Macaca fascicularis: one gene and its partners. The protein of the gene in region 1 interacts with the protein of each later gene in a pairwise test. Links are inferred from orthologs where the notes say so. Each region holds a gene or a part of one and is shown in the gene's direction. Other genes may lie near its edges.

Region 1 (4,691 bases):
TCGCTGCAATCTCCACCTCCCGGGTTCAAGTGATTCTCCTGCCGCAGCCTCCGGAGTAGCTGGGATTACAGGCATACACCACCACACCCAGCCAATTTTGTATTTTTAGTAGAGATGGGATTTCTCCATGTTGGTCAGGTTGGTCTTGAATTCCCGAATATCTTTTACATTCTCCATTTTGAGGCCTGCTTGACCTCTTATATGTAGGTAACCTTTTTATCTCAAACTCTGTCACTTCTAGTCAGTTCTTAACATTCACTAATACTTCTTAAAGGTTAGCATAGTGTCCGTTACTCCTGCAGCGTCTTCAGTTTTTGGTCCAACCTTAACGTCTCATCACCAGATTTCAGTCAGCAAAAGTATGTGGCAAATCAGGGAGATCTTTCTCCAGTGATTAAACCTTCCTCACCCCCATTACTCAGCCAGTGGGTAGTATCCTGTATAATTCTTCATAATTCAGATGTTTAAGTGGACTAACAACGATCTCTTGAATATATTTTCTAGTTTTAAAAGATCCATTTTTCTAGCTCCCTTTTCTCTTTCATTTTTGTAGGGAAAGATTTTTGAAGCATTATAGCGAGAGAAATAAGATGTAATGTTTGGAATGCCTAGGTAGCATCCAGGTTTCATTTATTATTTGACCTACTTACTTGTAGCTAAAACATATACCAAAAATTCAGGTAAAATGAGTTTGTTGTTTTGTTTTTTGGTTTTTTAGAGGCAGGGTCTTGTTGCCCAGGCTGGTCTTGAACTCCTGGGCTTAAACAGTCATCCCACTTTGGCCTTAACAAAGTATTGGGATTACAGGTGTGAGCCACTGTGCCCAGCCAAATTTTTAATTTTCATTTTGTGGTTACAGAGTTCTGTTCAATCTGAGAAATGTGCAATAATTACTCATTTTTCTTTTTTTGAGACAGAGTCTCGCTCTGTTTACAGGCTGGAGTGCAGTGGTGCCATCTTGGCTCACTGCAACCTCCACCTCCCGGGTTCAAGCGATTCTCCTGCCTCAGCCTCCTGAGTAGCTGGGACTACAGGCATGTAACACCACGCCCAGCTAATTTTTGTATTTTTAGTAGAGACAGGGTTTCACCATGTTGGCCAGGATGGTCTCGATCTCTTGATCTTGTGATCTGCCCACCTCGGCCTCCCAAAGTGCTGGGATTACATACAGGTATGAGCCACTGCGCCTGGCCAATAATTTTTCTAACAGATTCGTAGTATTCTAATAGGCTTTAAAATGTTCAGAAGACAAGTTGTGCTTCCTTGAAACAGTTACTGGCAAGTAGCTTTTGAGGATTGGAAGGGGCTAGAATCACCATGAGCCAGATCCTGGGCCATTCCCCTGTCTGCTCTGCCTCTGAATCCCTGACCTCTACTAGCCGTTGCTGACCTCAACTACTGATAGAGTTCTTCAGACTCAGTTGCTCCCTCATCCTGCTGATCTCTATGTGAGAGCAGTCGAATCAGCCCTTCTTTCTTTTCAGCTTTTGTCTTCCTTTTTACCCCAGCAAGATTTTTATTGTTCAAATTAGTGAAGCGTATCTTTCTACCTTCCTGAATATTAATGACAAATTAGAACTACTTTATGTAGATGTGGGTTATTATGACATATATCCATTTTAGTATTGTTTCCCCATGTTCTTTATCCTGCTTTGATTCTGTATGATCATATATCAGTAAAGTTTGCTACTTCTTTATGATTTCATGTTTTGGCAGAATACAAAGAAAAATATCTCCAGTTGTATACAAAAGTACATGAGGAAAATAGAATTAACAGTTGCTTCTATTAAGTACTTCAGAGATTATTTCACAAATGTGTTTCTTTAAGCAGCCTAGGGTTAGAAACAAGTTGATCTAATGTCAAATATCAGTTCTGCCTCTTAGTTGTAATGCTGCTTCTCTAAGCCTCAGTTTTCCTACATTGTAATGAGCTGAGGGTTAAATAACGTGTGAAAACATCCAACACATTAGACAGCTATTGATATCTCCTCAGACAGCTTCATGACTCTTGTCATTAACTGTATTTGGATTCAAATTCAGGTTTAGAGCGAGCTGAATTTAGGAGTCTCTGTCTTTTTCTTTTTTTTTTTTCCAAGACATTTATGTTAAATACTGGGTCATATGTGCATAAGACACAGCACAGAAATGCTTCGGATGCGGCTCCCTCTGGAAATCAAACTGAAGACTACTTGCCTGAGCATCTAAAGCCATTGTAAGGTGGTAGCCTTTCCTCTTCATCTCTCTCCACTTGTAGGTTATTTCTGATGTTGAAGAAGATGCCGGGGAACTGAGCAGAGAGAGCATGTGGGACCTTTCCTGTGAAACTGTGAGAGAGCAGCTTACAAACAGCATCAGAAAACAGTGGAGAATTTTGAAAAGTCATGTAGAAAAACTTGATAACCAAGGTAACCACTGCTTCTCTGCATGTAAAGTGAGTTGTGACATTTGGTAAGGTGTTGATTTTCAGTCACTTAGAAAGCTATATCTGTAGGCTCAGAGCTAAAGTACTATATACTTCAGTTTGGTGGTTTGAAAGCAAGATTTTGCATACATTTATTTTTTCATTTTATTTTATTTTACTTCCTGACACAGAACCTTGCTCTGTCACCCAGGCTGGAGTGTAGTGGTGCGATCTCGGCTCACTGTAACCTCCGCCTCCCAGGTTCAAGTGATTTCTCCTGCCTCAGCCTCCTGAGCAGCTAGGACTATAGGCGCGCATCACAGCCAGCTAATTTTTTGGTGTGTTTTTAGTGGAGATGGGGTTTCGCTGTGTTGGCCAGGCTCATCTTGAACTCCTGGCCTCAAGTGATTCACCTGCCTTGGCCTCTCCAAAGTGTCCAGATTACAGGTGTGAGCCACAGTGCACAGCCAAGATTTTACATACATTTAGATGTGAGGTTTGAACCTCACTGAGAAAAATACACTTTGGTCTCAGGGTGAATGTTTGAAAAGAGGACATCATGGATCCATCTGCTCTGGATGCAGTATACAATCGAATAAAGATAACTGAGCCGGGATAAAAGACTACACATTGGATATAGTGTATACTGCTTGGGTGATGGGTGCACCAAAATCTCAGAAATCACCACCAAAGATCTTATTCGTGTAACCACACACCACCTGTTCCCCCCCAAAAAAGAGAGAAAACTGAGTCTTTTTTACTGACTCTCAAAAAATCAAGAAATATTTATCATAGTATAGATAGGAACTTTTTGCTTATTTCTAGATGCTTGCAGATTACTGTGTTCCTAGTAATTCACTTAAAATTATTTTTAAAATAATAGATGTTTAATGCAAAATATTAATTTGGAAGTACATAAAGTAGAATATCCAGGTCTCCATTCCATACATATAACACTTAACAGTTGGGTGTATATTTTTCTAGACTTTCCTCTATGGATTTGCAAGATACTTATTTTTAAAATTTTTTTAAAAATTGAATGTCACCTATATTTTTGTTTAGTGTGCTTTTTTCACTTTATTATTTCAGACATTCTTTTTCCTTATACATAGCTCTACATTGATGAATATATTCTTAATATTTTCTACTTGGTAAAGTTTGCTTTTAAATTAGGAAAATGAAGATTTCTGCTCTGTAAATGAAGCCTATGTAAAGAAAAAATTTAAATTGTCAAAATATGAACTCAATGCCATTATGTTAAGTAGTAAAGAGCAATCGGCAAAATTATTATTACAACACCAAAATGAATATACTCGAGATTTTGTTCATTTGAGTCAGTGCTGTCTACTAGCAAATAGCAAGTGTGTTTGGACTTCGTGTTTGTTGAATTTAATATTTGAGAGCAAGATTTGTGACACGTCATTGATCTTTGAAGCAGTGTCAACAAAAACATAATGATTTTATTTTTCTCTTCTCTGAATATGGCCATTTTGTCTGTTTTTAATTAGGACATAATCTTGAATAAATATGGTTTACAAATTAAATCTTGGCAATAGAGCTCCATTTGTAAGCATATCATTTAGTCTTAAAATTGTACAAATATATAATTGTCATGAACTCCTGTAGTTGCTGTGCTGCTTAAAAATTTTTTATAATGTTAAAATAATATAAATGTAATTTTGTTATAGCTTATGAAATTTTAAAAAGCCAAAGGACATAACTACTTTTTAGAAAACCTATAAAATTCTAGAAAGATAAAAGTTCTGAGAGCCCTTATTTTAACGATATGTGTAGAAACACTGTAAACTAAATGGTGGCTATAAAACCTATGTCAACTTACTGATTTTGTCTTAGTTTCAAAGGTACACCTGGAAGGTTTTAATGATGAAGATGTTATCTCACGACAAGACCACGAACAAGAAACTGAAAAACTTGAGTTAGAAATTCAGCAGTGTAAAGAAATGATTAAAACTCAGCAACAGCTTTTGCAGGTGAATATGAATTACCTTGTAAAACTTGTTCTCCATGAGAAGCCAGAATTGTGCTGAACCTTAGCAGATTTGTATTCCTTTATTTCATAAGGCCCTGGTATTTGACAGTTTTCTAGTCTACGTTTCCTGCTAACAGATACGTTGTGTACCATTCCTTAAATAGTCCATACTTTGCTAGTTGGGGTCGTAGCTTTTGGGAAATGGGAATTCTCGTTTGACTTTTGGATTCTTAATAATTTATATTCCTGCCCTGAAGTTTGACCCGCCTTCCTTTGCTTTCATTTCAAGTTGTTGGAGTG
Region 2 (5,128 bases), on another chromosome or scaffold:
ATGGGAGTATGGGAGGCAGGCAGTAGGGTCTTGTGGAGACCTTACTCATTCCAGCCTGGAACTTCAACCACCCAGGGGCAAAGCTGCCCTGCTTACTGCTCACCTTGGAGGCTGTGGTCTTCCAGGCTGACCCTCCAATCATCACCCCGGGGCTCGGCGTGCAGTTCGGCGTGGATCCCAGAGATGAGGCCAGGCTCCTGCTGGGGCCGCAGAGCCACATCACACAGGTCGGCCCTGTGGCCCAAGCGATAGGTGCAGCCAGCCCCGGCGGGGGGGTGGAAGGTGTAGAGATCACCGCCCCTGCCGCCCCCGATGCGCAGCAGTTGGAAGCAGGGCAGCATGGGCGGTGCCCCCTTTGCACCACCTCTTCCACTTTAGGGATCCATTTCCTTTCCCACTCCTGGGCCACGCACCGCTGGCTTAAGTTCGCTTACCAGTCTGATGCAAACTTGAGTTGTGCTGTGTGCAGTTTCAACTTTGAGCACACTACCTGAATAGTCCAAATTCAGAGTGCAAGCAGCCTAGGACTCAATGCAGAATCGGTTGTTAAGCCGACTTGCAAATGAAAAATTCCAGGAAGGTCTCCGTGCAATGCAAACTCAGGACCACGTCCTGTGGCACCTCACTTGAGCTGGATCCTCAGGTCGCAAAATATCTGGGGAGCCTCCAATCTGCAAGGCAAGGATACTTTAGGCAGCTCCTGTGTGTGTCGGTGTGGCGGGGCGCGGGGGGGAGGTCCTGTTATACACACGTCTACGTGCAGTACGAACACATCACCTCTGTGTAATTCGGAGAAGAGCAGCTTCTTCCTGTCAAACCTGCTTATCCTAATAGAGCACTCCCGCTTGCCTGCGCCCCGATCTTCTGGCCAATCCCTCACTCATAACTAGTTTGAACCTCCGAGGGCAATGAATCTACTGTCATCCCCCAAAAGGAAGTGCAAACGAGTTCTTAAGTACTCCAACAAATTGGACCTAAACCCCTACTTCCCGGCTTCTCTAGGTGGGATAAAAACAGGAAGGGGCTCCCCGCGATCATGCAAGGCATACCCGGCCTTTTCCCTCTCGGCCCCAGCCCCGTTTCGGATCTACCAGCGCGGTGCAGTCTCCGAGTAGCCTCCTCTTCAAGCAGTGCCAGCCTGTGCCGCGGGTCCTGGGACCCCCTGGGCTCCTCTGCTGTAGCCGATACTGCTGCAGCTGTTTGACAGCCAGGAAGCCGGGGCCAGGAGGGGCGCGGCCTCGGCGCGCGGGCAGCGCCTACCCCTCCTTCGGAATTCCCGGGCCCGAACTTCGCGCCGAGCGAGCCCGCCCCCGTGCCGTTTCTGATTGGCCAGCTCATTTGCTCTCTTCCGCGCCATTGGACGGCTCCCTAAGATCTCCCGCCTTCCGCTTTTTCTGATTAGTTCACAAGTTTTCCCGGGTTCCCGCAGTGGGGAGGAGCCGCCTGGGCGCGGACAGGCGTCGACACATTCTGTGGGCCCAGATTTAGACGCCACTGCGCCTGCGTACACCTTTCCTCCTCCCTACAGGGAGATAGGACCTTAGGGCCCCCGCCTTGCGCAGGCGCGGTCAGAGGCCGAGGCAGAGGCGGGGCCCGGAGCGAGGCGTAGGGGGTGTGGTCAAGGCGCAGTAGGGGTTCTCGCGGTGGGTAAGGGACGTTCGGGAAGAGTCGGTTGTGGGCGGGAAGGGGTTGAGCGGGGGTGCTGGGAGGGTTCAAGGGGTCCAAAGGGGAAGGGGGAACAGGGGCCAGGTGAAGGGGTAGATGAGGAGATCAGAACAGCCTAAGAGCTCAGGGGCCAACTGGGTGAACAGCCTTGGGTATCTAGGGGAGCAGTGGGGGGAGAGCAGAGCCGGCTAGCGTACAGGGGGCGAGAGCAGACTATTGAGAGATGGGGGTGAGGGTGAGGACCAGAACAATTCCTTCAGAAAAAAGTAGATTAGGATGTAAAAAGGGACCGGAGTAGGGATCCCAGATTCGGGTAAAAAATAGATTAATGAGGGTGGGAGGGTGGGGGGAAGGTCTTAAAGTGCCCACTATGTGTTAGGACTCGAGAAAGAGGAGGCGGGCGGCAGGCATGGAAGCTGAGAGGATAGTAGAGAGAAGCTGAGAGGACAGCCGCAGTAAAGATTTGGATGAGATGTCAGGACGCTGGCTTTTCTGCCTGGGGATCTAGGCTGCTTGGATTCCCAAGGTCTTGGGAAGGGTCTAGCCCTGCATGTGGCCACATTCAGCTGGGGCCAGGCCTTGGGCCAGCACTTTAATAGGGAAGGACCCAAGAGTCATGGCCTGGTGGTGTCTGGATGGGATTCCCCCAGGCCTTGCTGAGCCATGGAGAGAACTCTGGAGATGGCGCTCAAGACCCCTGCACTGTGTACCTCCTTTCTCACCTCTGGCCAGGGGCAGCAGGGACCATAGAAACTTAAGGAGGAGGGTAAAGGCACTGCCCAGAATCCTGAAAGTATGAGTAAAGCCTCAGAGCCCCTCTCGGTCTGTCTTTTTCAGTAAATTCTCTCCACTTGATAGTTGCCTGGGTTCCCTGAGGAACCAGGTTGAGACAAGCAAGTGAATTTGGGGTATCTCCTACTTCTTTGGGGAAGTAGGAAAAGAGCTGAGCATCGGGTGGACCTGGCTGTAATTCAAGGATTATGACTTGGTTATTGTAGGGGCTTTCTCTTTGGAAGGTGGCCTGAAAATTGAATTGGAGTGTCTTTGTTTCTCCTATTGTCCAGGGGAACATAGATGGCTGGAGACAGAATCTAGAGCCTTCAAATAATGTGGAGATGTTTCCACCTTCAGGTCAGTGGGACCAGACAAGGGGAGTGGTGGTTGTCTCTGCCTGGGAAACTGACCATCTTTGATTTTGTAATTCTTCAGGTTCCACTGGGCTGATTCCTCCCTCCCATTTTCAAGCTCGGCCCCTTTCAACTCTGCCGAGAATGGCTCCCACCTGGCTCTCAGACATTCCCCTGGTCCAACCCCCAGGCCATCAAGATGTCTCAGAGAGGCGACTAGACACCCAGAGACCTCAAGTGACCATGTGGAAACAGGATGTTTCCAGTGACAGGCAGGAGCCAGGGCGGAGAGGCAGGTAGGGATCCATCCTCGCTGTTTTCTCAGGCTGGCTTGCTAGTGACCCTTCTTCACTGGAATAAACTCCTTACCCTATTTCGGCCCTAGTTTCCAGAACCTACTCATTTTTATGCAAGCAATTATTAGTTCCTGCAGTGCTTAGATAATAAAGCAGTGTGCTAGGTGCTAGGGATGAGGATAACAATAATGAATAAGACAAATCCTGACTTAAATTTGTAATTAATAAGGAATCTAAAATCCTAAGAGGGGAGATAGATTGACCATCAACTGATGGTAAAGCATAGTATGAGGCAAGATGAAGAAGTGCAAACTAGAAGTAGAGACCCAGGACTGTGGCAGTGTGGGTTCATTCTGATGGAAGAAAGCCTTTACAGAGGACATGCTATGGGAGCTGGCCATGCTGTCGTATTGTCTGTAAACATTCTTATTCTTGTTGTTTCATGTGTCTTCCCAGATGTACTGGGATATCATTCTGCCATTTTGCTCCAGAGTAGGATTACATTAGAAGCAGCAGCACGATGAAGAAGAAGGAGCACTAGACTGGGTGTCAGGAGACAGAGACTCTCTTTCTAGTTTGGCTACCAGCTAGAGGACATTTGGCAAGTCAATTTCCCTAGCCTACAAATCCCTGATACTTAAAAATAAATGAAGAAAATAAAGAAAAGGCCAGGTATGGTGGCTCACACCTATACTCCTAGCACTTTGGGAGCTGAGGCAGGAGGATCACTTGAGCCCAGGAGTTCAAGACCAGCCTGGGCAACAAAGTGAGACTTCGTCTCCACAGAAAATAATTAGCTAGCTGTGGTGACATGCATTTGTAGTCCCAGCTACTCGGGAGGCTAAGGTGGTAGGATCATTTGAGCTCAGGAGTTGAAGGCTGCAGTGACCTATGATCCAGCCACTGCATTGAGGCCTGGGTGACACAGTGATACCCTGTCTCTAAAAACAACAACAACAATCTCCTGTGGTCCTGGGTGTCAGAGAGACAGCTGCCTCAGGAGCCACGTTCCAAGCTAGATTAAACTTCACGTGATATTGGTAGACAATGTCTCCAAAGGCTGGCACTATGTTATTTATGTACTGTTCTCTCAGACTCCTCATAAAGTATACCTAACACTCAATAAATGCATTTTAACTAGCACCTGGCCTCACCATATTGATACTGGAAGCTCAGCTCTCTCTATGCCCATTCCTCCCTCAAACTTCTTGCCCTTAAATCAGAATTGAGAAGTCTCTGTTCTTCCAACCTTTCCACTTAAAATGTGTGGCCTAAAAATAAAAAATAAATAAGACAAAAAAACACCAAAAAACAAAAAGAATGTGTGGCCTAATGATATACACATTTGATGTTGAATCTGTCTGTATGTAGCTCTCTCTAGGGAGATCATGTTCCATCATCTCAGCCAGACTTTAGGTCCTGTGAGTCCAGGCACTGGACTTAACATGCTCAATAGGGCTTTGATGAATGATAATAATGTCAATGCAGACATCCCCATACCCCAGCTTCAGCACCCCCTTCACCTCCTCACACGGGGGCAGAGAGGTCCTCTTTTCCTTCTGGCTATGTTTACACCCTCAACTATCCTTCCAGCACTGGAGACAAGTCTCACCTGCACTAACCTGTCTTTGAAGGTCCTGGGAGCTGGAGGGGTCACAGGCCCTGAGCCAGCAGGCTGAGGTGATCGCTCGGCAGTTGCAAGAACTGCGGCGGCTGGAGGAGGAGGTCCGGCTCCTGCGGGAGACCTCACTGCAGCAGAAGATGAGGCTAGAGGCCCAGGCCATGGAGCTGGAGGCCCTGGCACAGGCAGAGAAGGCCGGCCGAGCTGAGGCCGAGGGCCTGCGTGCTGCTTTGGCTGGGGCTGAGGTCGTCCGGAAGAACTTGGAAGAGGGGAGCCAGCGCGAGCTGGAAGAGGTTCAGAGGCTGCACCAAGAGCAGGTGAATGCAGGGGTGGGAAGGATTTAAATTCATAACGGAGAGCTGGGCAGTAGCTTCCAAGCAAAGAACAGGTATTGCAGAAGAGACTCTCCATGAGTAGTG
Region 3 (5,397 bases), on another chromosome or scaffold:
AAGACTCCGTCTCAAAAAAAAAAAAAAAAAGCCGGGCGCGGTGGCTCAAGCCTGTAATCCCAGCACTTTGGGAGGCCGAGACGGGCAGATCACGAGGTCAGGAGATCGAGACCATCCTGGCTAACACAGTGAAACCCCGTCTCTACTAAAAAATACAAAAAAAATAGCCAGGCGAGGTGGCGGGCGCCTGTAGTCCCAGCTACTCTGGAGGCTGAGGCAGGAGAATGGCGTAAACCCGGGAGGCGGAGCTTGCAGTGAGCTGAGATCCGGCCACTGCACTCCAGCCTGGGCGACAGCGCGAGACTCCGTCTCAAAAAAAAAAAAAAAAAAAAAAAAAAAAAGCAGGTTGGGAAAATCTACAGGGAGCAAGGGAAATGTGTGCGTGTTATTTAAAATAAGATCATGAGAGGCCGGGCGCGGTGGCTCAAGCCTATAATCCCAGCACTTTGGGAGGCCGAGACGGGTGGATCACGAGGTCAGGAGATCGAGACTATCCTGGCTAACATGGTGAAACCCCGTCTCTACTAAAAATACAAAAAACTAGCCGGGCGTGGTGGCGGGCGCCTGTAGTCTCAGCTACTTGGGAGGCTGAGGCGGGAGAATGGCGTGAACCCGGGAGGCGGAGCTTGCAGTGAGCCGAGATCATGCCACTGCACTCCAGCCTGGGAGACACAGCGAGACTCCGTCTCAAAAAAAAAAAAAAAAAAAAAAATCTTTGGGAGGCCAAGGTGGGCAGATCACGAGGTCAGGAGATCGAGACCATCCTGGCTAACACGGTGAAGCCCCGTCTATACTAAAAAAAAAAATACAAAAAATTAGCTACACACCTGTAGTCCCAGCTACTCAGGAGGCTTAGGCGGGATCATCCCTTGAACCCATAAGGCAGAGGTTGCAGTGAGGCCACTGCACTCCAGCCTGGGCAACAGAGCGAGACTCCGCCTCAAAAAAAAAAAAAAAAATATATATATATATACACACACACACACAAACATACACATACACACACACACACACATATATACACACACACATATAAATTAGCAGGGCGTGGTGGTGTGCCCCTGTAATCCCAGCTACTTAGGAGGCTGAGGCAGGCGAATTGCTTGAACCCCGGAGGCGGAGGTTGCAGTGAGTCGAGATCACACCACTGCACTCCAGCCTGGGCAACACAGTGAGACTCCGCCTCAAAAAAAAAAAAAAATATATATATATATACACACACACACACACATACATATATATACACATATACATACACACACACACACATATATATACACACATATAAATTAGCAGGGCGTGGTGACGTGTGCCTGTAATCCCAGCTACTGAGGAGGCTGAGGCAGGCGAATTGCTTGAACCCCGGAGGCAGAGGTTGCAGTGAGCCGAGATCACACCACTGCACTCCAGCCTGGGCAACAAGAGTAAAACTCTGTCTCAAAATCAATCAATCAATCAATAAATAAATAACTTAATTTTAGAATTCGTCTTCCAGATATGTTTTACACAGATCATTCATTCATTCCACAGATTTTTTTACAGCATCGAAAGAAGCTTGCTATACACACATCGGTACATTTTTATTATTTTAATTATTAACAGCATAGATGTTTTCATGCCAGTTTTCATAATCATTGTAATGATAATTGTCGTGATTGTCTCTCCGTCGGGGGGAAGAATCTGGGTGCAGGGCTTGGGGACCCCTGCGGTCCGCGGCGTGGAAGTGCCGCTTCCTGGGGTGCTCCCGGAATCCGTGAGCCAGGGAACCTAAGAACGCCGACCCGCCGAAGCCGGAGGGCAGACGCTGGCACACCGGACGCGGGGACGCCAGAAGCGGCTGGACCCGGAAGTAGGGGTTGCTGGTGGCCGCCCCGGGAGCAAGGACCGGAGCTGGATGCGAGGTGTAGCTGCGGGTGAGCGGCAGGCTGTGGGCCCCTCGCCGGGCGGCTCAAAAAGGCGGGAAGCGCAGGCCTTTTTCTGGCTTGTTTCCTCAACGTTGGCCGGCGGAGGACCCGCGAGCTCGGGAGAGGGCCCGGGCCGGGCTCTGCATTCTTGTTGCCTCTTCCCTGGCGGGGGTGATCCTCTCCCGCGGGGCTTGCTGTAGGGGTTCAGGAAGGTGGAGATGGGCCCGCCCTGTGCCTGCAGGGAGCAGGCGCTGTGGTTAATACTTTTGTTTTCCGAACCCTCCCACAGCAATTTGAGGTGAGGTCTGCTGTCCCAGTCTCACAGGTAGGGAAACTGAGGCTCAGGGAGGCTGTGCAGCCGCCGGGGCCCAGATTGGTGCGGTACACCCCCAGGCAGCTTCCACTCGCCGCCCCCTAGGCCCTGGCTGGGTTTTGAGGGCACCCAGGTTCTCTGACCTGTTATCTAAAAATGAAGTGGGGTACTTTTGTGAACGAATTAGCTGGAATCCAGGGGCAATAATTTCTGGCAGAAGTGAAAGGTAAGATGTTCCTCGTCTTGCCTTTTTATCTTCTCACCTTTGGAAACAGGACCTGAGAGGCCAGCCTAACTTGGTCTTGATGGCTAGCCAGTCCTGGGATTCCTTTGCCAAGGTCGCCTGACGCTAGTGTGAATTGTTCTGAACCTCCATTTACTCACGGTTTTAAAAAATTACAACACCTGCCTTATGGGGTTGTTAGCAAGATTGAATAGTGTTTGTAACTATGGTGTGCCTAGTACAAAGGGGGAGCTTAAGAAATGGTTGTTGCTGGGCGCGGTGGCTCGAGTTTGTAATCCCAGCACTTTGGGAGGCCGAGACGGGCGGATCACGAGGTCAGGAGATCGAGACCATCCTGGCTAACACGGTGAAACCCCGTCTCTACTAAAATATACAAAAAATTAGCCAGGCGCGGTGGTGGGCGCCTGTAGTCCCAGCTACTCTGGAGGCTGAGGCAGGAGAATGGCGTAAACCCGGGAGGCGGAGCTTGCAGTGAGCTGAGATCCGGCCACTGCACTCCAGCCTGGGCGACAGAGCGACACTCCGTCTCAAAAATAAATAAATAAATAAATGGTTGTTTCCCTCTTTTCCTGATTCTAGAAGTATTTGGTAAAGTTACTGAGGTGGTAAATCCTAGGAATTTTAATGCTATTCAGACCACTGCTAGGCCTACTCCCAAGCCACATCTGCTTGTTTCTTTTTTTGTGTTTGTTTTGTTTCAGACCGAGTCTCACTCTGTCGCCCAGGCTGGAGTACAGTGGCGCCATCTCGGCTCACTGCAACCTCCGCCCCCTGGGTTCAAGTGATTCTCCTGCCTCAGCCACCTGAGTAGCTGGGATTATAGGCACGCACCACCACCCCCCCAGCTAATTTTTGTATTTTTAGTAGAGACCAGGCTTCACCATGTTGGCCAGGCTGGTCTTGAACTGCTGACCTCAGGTGATCCACCTGCCTCAGCCTCCCAAAGTATTTGCTCACCGTCTGTTTACCATGAGAATGAAGAAAGCAAAACCCCTGTTCTCGTGCTGCTTATTTACATTCTAGAAGCTGTAGGACGAGCCAAATAAGTAGATGGAGGCTGTACCAGGTGTAGTGGTGAGTGCTACAGGGAAGCATAGCTGGGCTGCTGTTCCATCAGAATGCTCACAGAGGCAGGGCAGGATCAGGCTTGGGGCACGGGTTCTAGAACAACCAAGTCCAGCCACTGGAGATCTGGTCTCTCTGACCCCACAGTCCCTGTCTAGGATGCTGGCAGAACTGCCTGGTCCCTGGTGTGTCCTCGTTATGTCATACATAATTGCTGGCTACTCTGGCATAGACATGAGAAAATCTGAGGAAACATTTTAACACAAAACTTCCTACTTTGGAAGAGATGGGAAACTTACACCCTCACAGAACAATCCGCCTCTGCTTCGAGTTTTCCCTTTTGGCCTCTGGCTTCCCAGGGTGAGGGAAGGGGAGTACCTAGGTCTCTTTTAAACCTCACTTCTGGGCCTCTGATTTTGGTAGAATCAAAACTTCCCCAGAACAGAGAGCAGAGGCCAGTCACAACCACCTTGGTTGTTCATTCGTTCACTCAGCAGGCATTTAATGCGTGCTGGGTGCCAGGAATACGGCAATGAACCTGACAATTGTGGGAGACACAGACTGCTGACGCCAGATGCAGTCTTCAGGAGGGGGAGGGACAATTGCGGGAGAGACAGACGGCTGAGGCCAGATGCAGTCTTCAGGAGGGGGAGGGGCAGGGGTCAGAGCAAGTAGACTAAGGGGGAAAAGTGGCCTAGGCCGAAGCCTGCTGGCACATGGGGAGGAAAGGTGGGTGCGCAGCAGAGCTGTGGAAGATGCAGCTGGAGCTGTCATGGGCCGGAGAGCACATCTGCAGACAGTGCCATCATTCCTCAAGGCCTCGGCTCTCACTCTGGGATGGTTGTGTATTTAGGGGAAGCATCCACTTACTTATTTTGAGGAAAAAAGTAAATTGTCATTTTATTTGGGGCAGCTTTCTGGTCAAGCTTACTGATTTCACTGTGGTCCTGTGATCTCTTAAGTGGGGGACAAGGTTGACAGCCCAAGGCCCACCTCAGACTTCTTCCCCCGCACAGCATAACAAGCAGCAGAAGCCCCTTTAGTGAAGGAGGTTCCTTTGGCATCCTTTCTGAACAATGCCCTTTCCAACCCTCCTTTATTCTTCTGGTTTTATTTTATTTTAAAGTCCCCTGTCTTAGTTCTTGTTCCTCAGTCACTTGTGTCCAGGTGCTAAATGTAAAAGGTACAAAAGAGAATGTGGTGAGGAGGCCTCCCCAGCCCTGACCTCCAGGCCCTAACACCCACTCCAGGTGACTGCTTGGACTGTTTGTTTTATATTCTATCCAGACATATTGCCTCTTCATAATCAAATGCACACGTGTGCACACATATGTGTGATCACAGATGGCAGTGCTCTTTACACATCGTTACGTGCCCAGCTTTCTTAGCATGATTTATCTCAGTGATCGGATCCACGTTAGTATGTACCAAGCAGATGCTTTCCTTTCTAATGCTGCCAGATGCTCCACTGTAGAGAATGCCATGCTTTTTTTTTTTTTTTTTTTTTTTTGGAGACAGAGTCTCACTCAATCACCCAGGCTGGAGGGCAGTGGCGCAATCTTGGCTCACTGCAAGCTCCGCCTCCTGGGTTCACGTCATTCTCCTGCCTCAGCCTCCTGAGTAGCTGGGACTACAGGCGCCCACCACCGAGCCCAGCTAATTTTTTGTATTTTTAGTAGAGATGGGGTTTCACCGTGTTAGTCAGGGTGGTCTCCATCTCCTGACCTGGTGATCCTCCCGCCTTGGCCTCACAAAGTGCTGGCATTACAGGCGTGAGCCACCACGCCCGGCCAGAGAATGCCATGCTTTTATTTAACCACCTCCCTGTTGACAGACATCAGCTTGTTTCTAATCTTTTATCATGATTGATA
Region 4 (5,145 bases), on another chromosome or scaffold:
CTAAAATTTGTTCAAGGTTTAAAAAAAGTTACACCAGCAATGCCAAGTTTTTCATATATTTTTCCTAAGTGACATTCAGAAATTTTACTCATATCCCTGTAGAAATCATAGTCTGCCAACTCTTTTAAATGCCTATTTCTATTTTCCTTTACATAAAACTAAGGAGTTGTCAAATATCTTTCAGAAAAACAAAATGAAAAGAATTTATATGATATATATAACTGTCATGAGTCTAATACTTTATATAGACATTTAATTATCTAGATCACTTATTTTCCTATCTTTTGTACCATTAATGTTTTTCTCCATTAAATTATTCTTTCCCCCATATGCAACATTTTAGGTTGTTCACAATTCGTTGTTATCAATTTGCCATGCCCTTCAATCTTCTCTTTCTCTTTTTCTCTCTTAGCCAATTTACGACACCAGATTAGCCACATATGTTGAGTGTGTGGATCGCCAAAATTATAAACCACAAATGGCATAAGTTTGAGGAATTCAAATAACTCTGGCAAACTCTAACCTCAACTGCACCCAACAAAAATGAACAAGAAAAGACTTTCCCTATCTTAAGCCTCTAAAAACATTTTCATAGAAAGCAGAGTTAAAGCCATCCTGCCACTTCTTTTTAGGCTTTTCAAGACCTAAATTCTCTAGGTCTCATCATCTTTCTCTTTCTATTTATTTATTTATTTAGAAAAGCTATTTGCCATAGGGAAATTTGGATATATAATAAATACATGAGAGAATAAGGTATGCCTAAATGGGACACTTCAGAATCAACATAAATTTTGGATCTCACCTGCAATTTTGAAAGTCCTATTAATTTAAAAACTAGTAAATACCTTAATATTCATGATAGCTTACTGTAAGATTCCCTAGAGGCAATGAAGATGGGAATCTCAAGAAAACTAAAACTACCATACATCTTGGCTTCAGAGGTGAAAATAGGGGGAGAGGATTGGCTAGTTATCAACAGAAGGGAAAGTGCTTTTTGCACAGAGAAAGAATAGACAAGGCAACAAAAGTGGCAAACTGTAAGGGCCAATACACATCCACTGCTTCAAGTTTTTCAGCCATGTTCCATTCTCAGAGATTTCTGGTAGTACTTCAAGAACACCGATCTCCAAACTCCTCCTGAAAAGGGCTAGGAATGCTTCTGCCTGAAGATCTTACCTATTCTTTCTGGGCCCCATGATCTCCCTACATGATTGATCAACCTACTATTTCAACTCGAAAAAGCCTTTTCACAAATGTCAACTTCAGTGAGGCCTCCATTTAAAAATGAACACCCTACCAAGTCCTTTCCTAATTTCTGATTACACCCTGTGAATTTACATCAACCTACCCCACACCCTCAGTTTATGCCTCTTTTGAACATTCCTGCCGGGCTTCTCCTTTAAATCTTGCCTGGAAGGGGCGGAGCTATGTCCCAGGCTCACCGGGAGGAGCGTTCCGTAGGCTCCGCCCACCTACGTCTCAGAGGGCGCCCCAACGAACCCTGGATAAGGTCTCTTCCTAGTCCGCTCCGGAAATGCGACTGCGTACGCGCTGGACACGCAGTCGTGACGTCAGCGCGCCCGCGCCGGCTGGCCGGACGCCCTAGGCTTCCGCGAGATCTTAGGTGGGGGTTCGGTTGCTTTACGCCACGGCACTGCTGCGGTTGGGTTGTCACCTGTAGGCTGTCTGGACCTGGTCACGATTCCACAATGTACCACAACAGTAGCCAGAAGCGGCACTGGACTTTCTCCAGTGAGGAGCAGCTGGCAAGACTGCGGGCCGACGCCAACCGCAAATTCAGATGCAAAGCGGTGGCCAACGGGAAGGTGAGGTTTTCCCGACGGTTGCCCAGTTGCTTGGTCACTAAATTCTGAGCAGCTGCGGGAGCTCTTCTGGCTCCCAGGACAGTCTCACTCCCTCATTTCTCTGCCTCTGCGGCGCGGAGTGCGTTTATCTATTAAAATAAGCGAGCACCTCGCGAGGTTCCGTGGGTACAAAGACGAACAACGCCATCCCCGTGGTCGAATGGCAGACAAGTAACCAGTCTTTGTAACGTGGTGAAGAAGAGAGTAGGTAGTGTGCTAAGGTAGTGCGTGGCAAGAGCCGTTCACTTGTCAAGCGGTGATGTTGGGGAAGGTTTTTCCCAGTAGCCAATGCGGAGAAAATGGGGAAAGGACGTTCCAGGCAGTCAGAACTACCGTGCAGAGTGGGAGGGAGGTCAGAAGTTACAGGGCTGGTGCGTGGACGTGTTTGTGGTCGTATGTGGCCGAATGTGAGTACCTGTACAGGAATGGCTGGGGAGGGTAGGAAGGGAACTTGTTTGTAAGTGGAAGTGAGGCGTTTGAAATTTCCATTGAAAGGATGAGGAACCTTTGAAATATTTAAAATGGGAAGCTAACCTTATCAGATTTCCGTTCTGGAAACAGCGCTCTAGCAACCTCGTGGTGAATGGGTTGGATGAGGCGGGAGACCGGCGACGGAATACAAACCAAGTGACTAAAGATAAGGTTTGGACTGTGGCCCGCTAGCCAAGTCCCTTCTGTTACAGCTCTAGGACTGGTTTAATCTTTCTTACAAGCTCCACTCCAGCAAGTGTTCAGTGCCTCCAAATTACTGACACTGAATTACTTTACTTTCTACCTTTAATTCACATCACTGATTTTAGCACCTGAATTAGTTTCCTTAAGGGCTGCCTTAAAAAAATCACCACAGACTGGGTAGCTTAAAATAACAGAAATTTATTGAAACATTTGCTGTTTTTTTACAACTTGTGTCGTAATGACTGACCGAGAAACGAATGTTGGAAGCTTTCCAATCATATTTGTAAAAAGTCTATCTACTTTTAAATTTGTAAATAATGATATCACAGCTGTGAGCATATGCACATAGCCTATCGTGATTGTTTATATAATGAAGCAAAGGTCTAGCTGACATTCCGAAAAGTTGTGAAATGATGGTACAGTTTTAGTTTATTGTTTTCCTACAGCTATTTTGTGTAATGATTAGCGAATCTATAAAGAAAACGAGGCGTGATATATTCCCCTTCGTTGGAGATATAAACTAAATTTAATCTGGATAGAGAAAAATGTTTTACAATTGTTTAATTCATTGAATTCATTGAACTTGTGTTGTAATTGTTGATCTAAAGGTTCTTCCGAATGATCCAGTCTTTCTTGAGCCTCATGAAGAAATGACACTCTGCAAATACTATGAGAAAAGGTTATTGGAATTCTGTTCGGTGTTTAAGCCAGCAATGCCAAGGTCTGTTGTGGTAAGTTACAGTAGTGATGAAATATAATGTCCTTTAGTTGACTTGTGAAATTTGACCTCTTCTAAATTCCCTGTCCACTCTAGTCTTAAAAATTCACGTTAGTTACAATTAATTAGTTTTTGGCACATTATATCTTTTTCAGTTCAGGCCTTAACTCTTGAATTGCTGTATCATATCTTCAAAAGTATTTCAAGTCTCATTTTGTGGTCAGAAAAAAATTTGAGGTCAGGTAATGTTATAAAGAAAGAAACAAAATAAATTACTTTCCTCTAAGTTCTCAACTAGTGAGCCATAGAACTGGGACTAGAACATAGACTACTTGCTTTTCCAACTCTGTGACACCCAATAAATGTTTGAAGTAATGCATTCTTTCATAATTGGTAATCATATGCCCCAGCTGAAACTGATACCATAAGATTTTTTTAAGCCTTAATTAGTAGAAGCTGGAGTTTTATCTTTGGTTAAAAAAGATTGTCTTATTGCTTCAGATGTATGGTTCTGAGGACCTGTTTGTTTTTTGCTGGGGTGGGCAACCGTGAGGAGAAACAGGTAGCTGAGATTAAAAAGCAGAAAGATAAAAAAGCTAGAGTGGGAGGGTGTTTAAAATGTCTTTACGTTATTCTCTCACAGGTTTGTTGCAAAGAACAAATATAGAAGTGTATCTTAAGTAAAAGACTGTTAAATTTTAAAGTTATACAGTGTGACTAGCTTACGACCGAGTAGAGAATAATCTTCTGGGAAATTATCTCCATTTTTATAGTTGAAAAAAATTTGAAGTATGTTGAAAATATTAAGTCCATAGAATTTATAATTTTTTTTTCATCTGAGATATCAAAGATTCAGAGAGAGTTTTAGGTATACTTGATTAGTTTATATCTTCAGATTTGGTTTATTCTTACAAAAGAACTAAAATGAGGCAGTAAATTTAAGTGATCTTATCAAATGAAGAAAAAAATCCTTTAATGAACTTCTTTATGGAATTTATTTTTAAATAACATGTTTATCATTGGTGAATAATTTTTTGTTATACATAATGACAAAACTAAACTTTTAAAATACTTAAAAGGAAATATTCTTTTTTCTATCATAAAATAGATTAGTGGTTATTTCATTGGTTCCAGCCAAATGATATAATGGTTAAAAGTACAGGCAGGTCTTACTTGAATTCATTCCTGTTCCTTATTAGCTGTGTGACCTAGATAAGTCAGTTCACCTCATTGATACTCAGTTTCCTTCTCTGTAGAGATAGCAATATTTCACCAAGCTGTTGTAAGGGTTAAAACATGATGATAGTTTTGTGCTTATCACAGAGTCTGGCACTTGGTATGCATTCAGTAAATGGTAGTGCTGTTTCTGCCATTCAGTTGGCAGCAGTGATCACAAATCATGGGAATGGATACAAAACAATATCACAAATATGTAGTGGCTTTAGAGAGAAGGCTTATTGCCTTGCTCATTATTTTTATAAGATTGGTTAATCTGTGAACATTTGTATTTTTCTTCCTGAATTTATCTAATTCAGGACATTTTTGATACTCTGACTTCTAAAACATACACACTCACGTATTTTTAAATCCAGTGACCATAGGAAGGATTAGCCAGGGTAGGCTAGGGATAGACAAGCAAAGGATGGGAAAGGATCTTTTGGCTATGGCATTTCTGTAGTAATTCATCACAATTTATTTTGATTAAAGAAGAATTAATGAGTATTAGTATTTTTCTGGGTAATCTCTACAAAGAAACCTTTCCATAAATAAGTTCTGTTTCACACAATTTAACATTTAACATTTGTGAATAGATCCTGATGATATATTTTTTTTAACCCTTAGGGTACAGCTTGTATGTATTTCAAACGTTTTTATCTTAATAACTCA
Region 5 (5,154 bases), on another chromosome or scaffold:
AATCCACCTGCCTCGGCCTCCCAAAGTGCTAAGATGACAGGCGTGAGCCACCGCGCCCCCCCCTATGTTGCTGAATTAAATAGTTGGTGCTTAGTGTGTATTTCACGTGGTGCTGATACGCTGCCTTGTGTTTTGGTCTTTTCATGTGCATGAGGCATGACCAAGCCTTGATATGACTCATTATTTAATAAAAATACCACAATTCATCTATTCAAATGAGGGCTTTGTCTTCAACGCCTTCACCTTGCAGGAGTGGATGCTTAGCTCAGTGACGGCGTCATTGCTTGAAAGACTTTTGGAATACCTCTCTTGGAAACAACTTTGGCACCGAAAGCACTTTCCTTTCAATATCTTCCACGGTAGCAATTGTTTTTCATTTACGCAGCATTTATCATGCACTTCCCTATCCCAGGCACCAGGCTGGTTCTGTGTGAAAGATAAGATAAATCAGACATTACTCTGTCTTCAAGGAAGTTTCTGTTTGGCAAGGGAGATAAGATCTAGACAACCACCCAACACAAGGCTAAGTGATAACGCCCCAGAAAAGTTTGGACTTGATTTTTGGAAAAAGCCAAAAGTCCTTTGGTTTCAGTCTCCTGGCCAGGTAGATGATGGCGCTGTCTGCCAGCACACTGCTTTAAGCCCGTTTGTCCTGAGCGTCTCCAAACAAGGAGCCCAGCGTGTTTCCAGCACCCCCTGCCCCAACAAGAGACTCTTGGGCATGTGTGTCTGAAGTCCAGACTCTCGCCGATGGCAGTATACTCCGAGGCCTCCCCAGCTAAACTCTGGGCTCTTTGAGGGCAGGTGCTGAGGGCTGATCCTGGTCTTCACAGTATCTGGATTCATCATACATATTAGATGAATATTCATTGAGTCACTGAGCCCAAAAGGCGTCTCGGGGCATGCCACATGGACTTCAAACCGAGTGCCCTTTCTCCCATGTGGTTTACTCGTAGTGGCAGTTTTACAGATGCCCAAGGGGCAGGAGAGAAAAACGGAAAGGGCTAAAGCCGGGGAGGGCAAGCGAGGGGGCACTGGCGGCGGATCCGGGAATGGAGCCCGCGAGTTCCTGCTTCCTGGTTCCCCGGAGCAAGTGTCCTTTGGTGGGAGCCGCAGGGAAGGGAGCAGCCCTTCCTGCGCGCCGGGCGCCCGCCCCTTCCCCGGCCTCCCAGGGACTCGCACGGAGGGACGCCGGGTGGCGGGGCGGGAGGCCGGGCCCCGTCCACCTCCCCCCGGGACAGCCCCACCCCGGCGAAGAGGAAGGCTCTCGGCTCCTGGGAAAGAGAGTCGGGACCCCGCCAGGACGGGAGGGCGCGGGGCGCGCAACCAGCAGGCAAAGAGTCGGAGCGGAGAGATCGAAGGGCGAGTGGGCGTGGGGGCCGCAGCCGAGGCCGGGGTGGAGGGGTCCCCGCGGTTCCTCGACCCCCTCCCCCGCCGCCCGCCCCGGCCCGGCCCGGCCCCGCCCCGCCCCTGCGGCCCGGCCCCTCGCCCGCCCGCGCTCCGCGCAGTCTCCTCCCCGAGGTGCCGGTGGCCCGGCCGCCACTCCCTCCGGCTCCCTCCCTCCCGCTCCCTCCCTCCCGCCGCGGCGCGCATCTCATTCCAGCCCTCATTCCGCGCATTCCAGCGTCCTCCTCGCACACTCGAGGCCAGGGGGCGGGAGGGCCGCAGCTCCGGCGCCGCCGCGTCCCGCCAGGTGAGAGGCGCCCGCGCCCGCCTCGCCCGCCGCACCCGCCGGCGCCCTCCCGGGCCGCGCGCCCCACGCCGCCGCCGCCGCAGCCGACCGCTCGCGCCGCGTGCTCGGCTGCTCTTTTCTTTCCGCGGCCCGCGTTCCCGCCTCGGACCTCTGCGCTCCGGCGCGCTCCGTCCCGACCCCTGGCTTCCCTCCGCGCTCCGACGCTGCTCGCTGCCCCTCTCCCGCTTCCCTCCCGTCCGCCCCGCGCTCCCCTCCTCGCTCCCGGTTGACTCACTCCTCCAGGAATAGGGATCCCCGTGTTTTCCCGTCAGTCCCATTCTGGGAAAACTCCTCCCTCCCGCGCGCTCCGCTCCGCTCCGCTGGGTGCACCGGGGCCGGTCGGCGCGGGGTGGGCTTGGCCCCGCGGCTCCGCCTTCACTGCGCCGCCCGTCGGCCCCGGCCGGAGCCCGGCTCTACGCGCTGACGCCCTGTCGTCCCCGCAGAGCGATCGCCGCGGCCAGAAGAGTTGGCGCTCGGGGCGGACTCCTTGGAACTGGCTTAGCGCACACATCCCACCTTCCCGAACCCTGGGACCGGTAAGGCTGGGGAGCGGGGACTTGGTGGGACTTTGCCGGAGGGCAGGAGTCTGCGCGGTGAGTGCGGTGCTCCCTCTCGGGAGGAGACTGGGAAGAGCGAGGCACGTGGAGGCGGCGCGACTGAGGCTGGTGGAGGCGAAGCGGCTCCAGGGGCGGGTAAGGGGGGTGGACACTCGGGACTTTGGGGAAGAGGGAGGCCGGTGTGGAAAGGACCGGAGAGGCAGAACCGAGAGCGTCGGCAACAGAAGAGACTCAGCACCCATGCCCCTTTTCTGCTGGGCCCTTTTTGAGCCTGGAAGGGAGAGACCTGGTGGTAAGCGGACTGCCTGTTTTAAGTGCACAGGCGATGCGAAAGTGGGGGGACGCCTGCAAAAGGTCCTACACCCCAGGGCTTGGGAAGCTGCTGTGTTCCCTGATGGAGACTAGTGAATCGATCCAGGGAGCAGAACTTTCAAACCCCAAAGTGAACATTTCCCCCGCTGCGCTCAGGCACCTGAGGCCTCGCGTACTGACTGCGTCTGTGCTGAATCTGTGTGACAACTGACTGCGCGTCTCCCTCGCTTTGAGTCTCTGTGTGGGTGATATCTATTCACGTGTGACTCACCTTGGCTTCCAGTGGGCGTATCTGTTTGTGTTGAACGTGAGTGACAGAGTGTGTGTATGTGTCTGCGTAAGAAGGGGCTCTCTGAAAGTGTGAGTATCTCTGAGTAGGTGTGTGATGCCACGTCTCTTGAGTGTGTGTTTCTCTTCGAGGATATTGGTTCTGGCTAGGACTGTTCTTCCTCCCTACATAGCCGTGGGCAAGAGTCAGTGTCTTTGGTTGCCTGAGTGCAGGGATAATTTGGCTGTGGTTTTGGAGTGTGTGGCCTCCAGGCTCCGTTTCCCCTGGACCGGGCAGAGCTGGAAGGAAGCTGTCTCCACCTGCCTCTTCCAGCCAGGAGGCTGACTTTCTCGGGGCCAGGGGCTTGTGCTTGCCTGGAATGGTTCCGAGAACAAGCTGGTAGGAGGCTGAAGGAAGTTGAGATCTTTGCCTTTGGGGGAGGGGATGGGTGAATGAGATTTGGGAAGGTTTGTTGGGGTGGATCCCTCAGAAAGAGGAGACAGTTTTGAATCTGGAGACTTGTGTAAATACTGCTTTTAAGTTGGCCCCCAAGGACAAACAGATAGGGAGGTATACCAGCCTGAACAACTTTCTCCTGGTTTAACTCTCCTTGGAGCTAACCAGGTAACCCAGTAGAAGAATCCCTCATTCTTTCCAACTTGCTAGACATTCAGCACTTCCTTTGAGAAGAGGAATGAGTAGCCTGTTGCATGAGGGCCTCAATGTGGATATAATGTGTAGGGCTTTTTGGAAGGAAGGAGCCAGAAACTGTCTCGGAGATTGGGGGTTCTTGTCCCTGCTCCTCCATCTATCCTGAGGATTCAGATGTTCTTGTGGGAAACACCTCATCCTCTCACCTCTTCAGCCTGGTGTGCGATGGTCTAAAAGCAGCATTGATGGAGTGGAAAGGGCACCGGTTTAGTGTCAGGCAGACCAGGGTACAAATTCTGAGTCTCTCACTACCTTTAAGGCTCTCAGGCTGTTACCTGGTGGGTAATAGGAGGGGAGCTTGTCTGTCCAGAAAGTTTCCTGTGAAAAGTCGATGTTTGCAGAGCCCCCACGCAGTAGCACAGTACCTGGCACATCCCACGGACTCCATAGGATAGCTGTTGTATCCAGTGTTTCCTAAGCTTATTTCAGTAAGAACCTCTTTTTCCTAGGGATTAGTGTTTTTGGAATTCGTGTTTCTCTGAGCACCATCTGAGAAACCTTGCCCTGTCTATCATGTTTATTTAGCAAACATGGACCGAGCATTTACTATGAGCCAGGCCTACGCTGTGTTCTGCATCCTTAGGAATCAGGGTCCTAGTGGCCCAGGCCAGGAGGGAGGGGGACAGACAGGGCTTGGTCACCAGAGAACATAGTGCCAGCTTCTATTTTTCTGATTCCAGTTTTGCCTTGGCCCCAGGGTGAGCTTGCTGAACATTATTAGATACCCTAATGTCAGCATCTAAGTCCCTCATTTTATTTTATTTCACTTTTATTTTACTTTATTTATTATTGAGACAGAGTCTCACTCTGTCGCCTAGGCTAGAGTACAGTGGCTCACTGCAACCTCCATCTCCTGGGTTCAAACAATTCTCCTGCCTCAGCCTCCTGGCCGGCTAGTTTTATATCCATATATATATATATTTTGAGATGGAGTTTCGCTCTTGTTGCCTAGGCTGGAGTGCAATGGTGTGATCTTGGCTCACCACAACTTCTGCCTCCCGGGTTCAAGCGATGCTCCTGCCTCAGCCTCCGAAGTAGCTAGGATTACAGGCATGCGCCACCACGCTCAGCTAATTTTGTATTTTTAGTAGAGATGGGATTTCTCCATGTTGGTCAGGCTGGTCTCGAACTCCCGACCTCAGGTGATCTGCCCGCCTCAGCCTCCCAAAGTGCTGAGATTATAGGCGTGAGCCACCACTCCTAGCCGTTTTTTGTACTTTATAGTAGAGTCGGGATTTCGCCATGTTTGCCATGCTGGTCTTGAACTCCACCTCGGCCTCCCAAAGTGCTGGGACTACAGGCGTGAGCCACTGCACCTCCCATTTTAAAGATGGGGAAACTGATGCCCCAACCCTGGCGAGTGGCAGAGCGGGGATTAGAACCGATGCTCTCCCTTTGGCATTCTGTCTCCTACCTTGTGGATTGCAGTGCTTGTGCACTCCCTACTCCCCCCAGCCGCCTTCATCCAACAGGCGGGGAAGCTGGAGCAGACTGACTTGGGCCGTGCCTTGTGGCTCAGATAAGGTTGGTAGGAGCAGAAATACTCTGTTCCATGCTGGCCGAAAGCACCTAGC

The links.
Region 2: the proteins of SSX2IP (region 1) and CCHCR1 interact in binary tests that used the Homo sapiens proteins (3 or more experiments, as listed by UniProt). The link is inferred for Macaca fascicularis from reciprocal best matches to the Homo sapiens genes SSX2IP and CCHCR1.
Region 3: the proteins of SSX2IP (region 1) and TOP3B interact in binary tests that used the Homo sapiens proteins (3 or more experiments, as listed by UniProt). The two-hybrid records come from large-scale screens. The link is inferred for Macaca fascicularis from reciprocal best matches to the Homo sapiens genes SSX2IP and TOP3B.
Region 4: the proteins of SSX2IP (region 1) and CCNH interact in binary tests that used the Homo sapiens proteins (3 or more experiments, as listed by UniProt). The link is inferred for Macaca fascicularis from reciprocal best matches to the Homo sapiens genes SSX2IP and CCNH.
Region 5: the proteins of SSX2IP (region 1) and TEAD4 interact in a two-hybrid assay, tested with the Homo sapiens proteins (2 studies listed by BioGRID). The two-hybrid records come from large-scale screens. The link is inferred for Macaca fascicularis from reciprocal best matches to the Homo sapiens genes SSX2IP and TEAD4.

Annotation. Positions count from the first base shown.
Region 1 is NC_088375.1:149,992,003-149,996,693, forward strand, and holds part of SSX2IP (afadin- and alpha-actinin-binding protein), read left to right. Parts: intron 1-2,254; coding exon 2,255-2,405; intron 2,406-4,255; coding exon 4,256-4,392; intron 4,393-4,691. UniProt on the Homo sapiens protein: Belongs to an adhesion system, which plays a role in the organization of homotypic, interneuronal and heterotypic cell-cell adherens junctions (AJs).
Region 2 is NC_088378.1:141,510,486-141,515,613, forward strand, and holds the start of CCHCR1 (coiled-coil alpha-helical rod protein 1), read left to right. Parts: upstream 1-1,582; 5' UTR 1,583-2,215; coding exon 2,216-2,458; intron 2,459-2,663; exon of another isoform or gene 2,664-2,729; coding exon 2,730-2,796; intron 2,797-2,874; coding exon 2,875-3,088; intron 3,089-4,722; coding exon 4,723-5,026; intron 5,027-5,128. Other genes in the region: TCF19 (transcription factor 19), read right to left, coding at 104-341. UniProt on the Homo sapiens protein: May be a regulator of keratinocyte proliferation or differentiation.
Region 3 is NC_088384.1:31,145,008-31,150,404, forward strand, and holds the start of TOP3B (DNA topoisomerase 3-beta-1), read left to right. Parts: upstream 1-1,851; 5' UTR 1,852-1,894; coding exon of another isoform or gene 1,895-1,913; 5' UTR 1,914-2,202; exon of another isoform or gene 2,203-2,229; intron 2,230-5,397. UniProt on the Homo sapiens protein: Releases the supercoiling and torsional tension of DNA introduced during the DNA replication and transcription by transiently cleaving and rejoining one strand of the DNA duplex.
Region 4 is NC_088380.1:91,395,036-91,400,180, reverse strand, and holds the start of CCNH (cyclin-H), read left to right. Parts: upstream 1-1,599; 5' UTR 1,600-1,709; coding exon 1,710-1,826; intron 1,827-3,148; coding exon 3,149-3,271; intron 3,272-5,100; coding exon 5,101-5,145. UniProt on the Homo sapiens protein: Regulates CDK7, the catalytic subunit of the CDK-activating kinase (CAK) enzymatic complex. CAK activates the cyclin-associated kinases CDK1, CDK2, CDK4 and CDK6 by threonine phosphorylation.
Region 5 is NC_088385.1:3,838,049-3,843,202, forward strand, and holds the start of TEAD4 (transcriptional enhancer factor TEF-3), read left to right. Parts: upstream 1-1,608; 5' UTR 1,609-1,693; exon of another isoform or gene 1,694-2,175; 5' UTR 2,176-2,529; coding exon 2,530-2,581; intron 2,582-5,154. UniProt on the Homo sapiens protein: Transcription factor which plays a key role in the Hippo signaling pathway, a pathway involved in organ size control and tumor suppression by restricting proliferation and promoting apoptosis.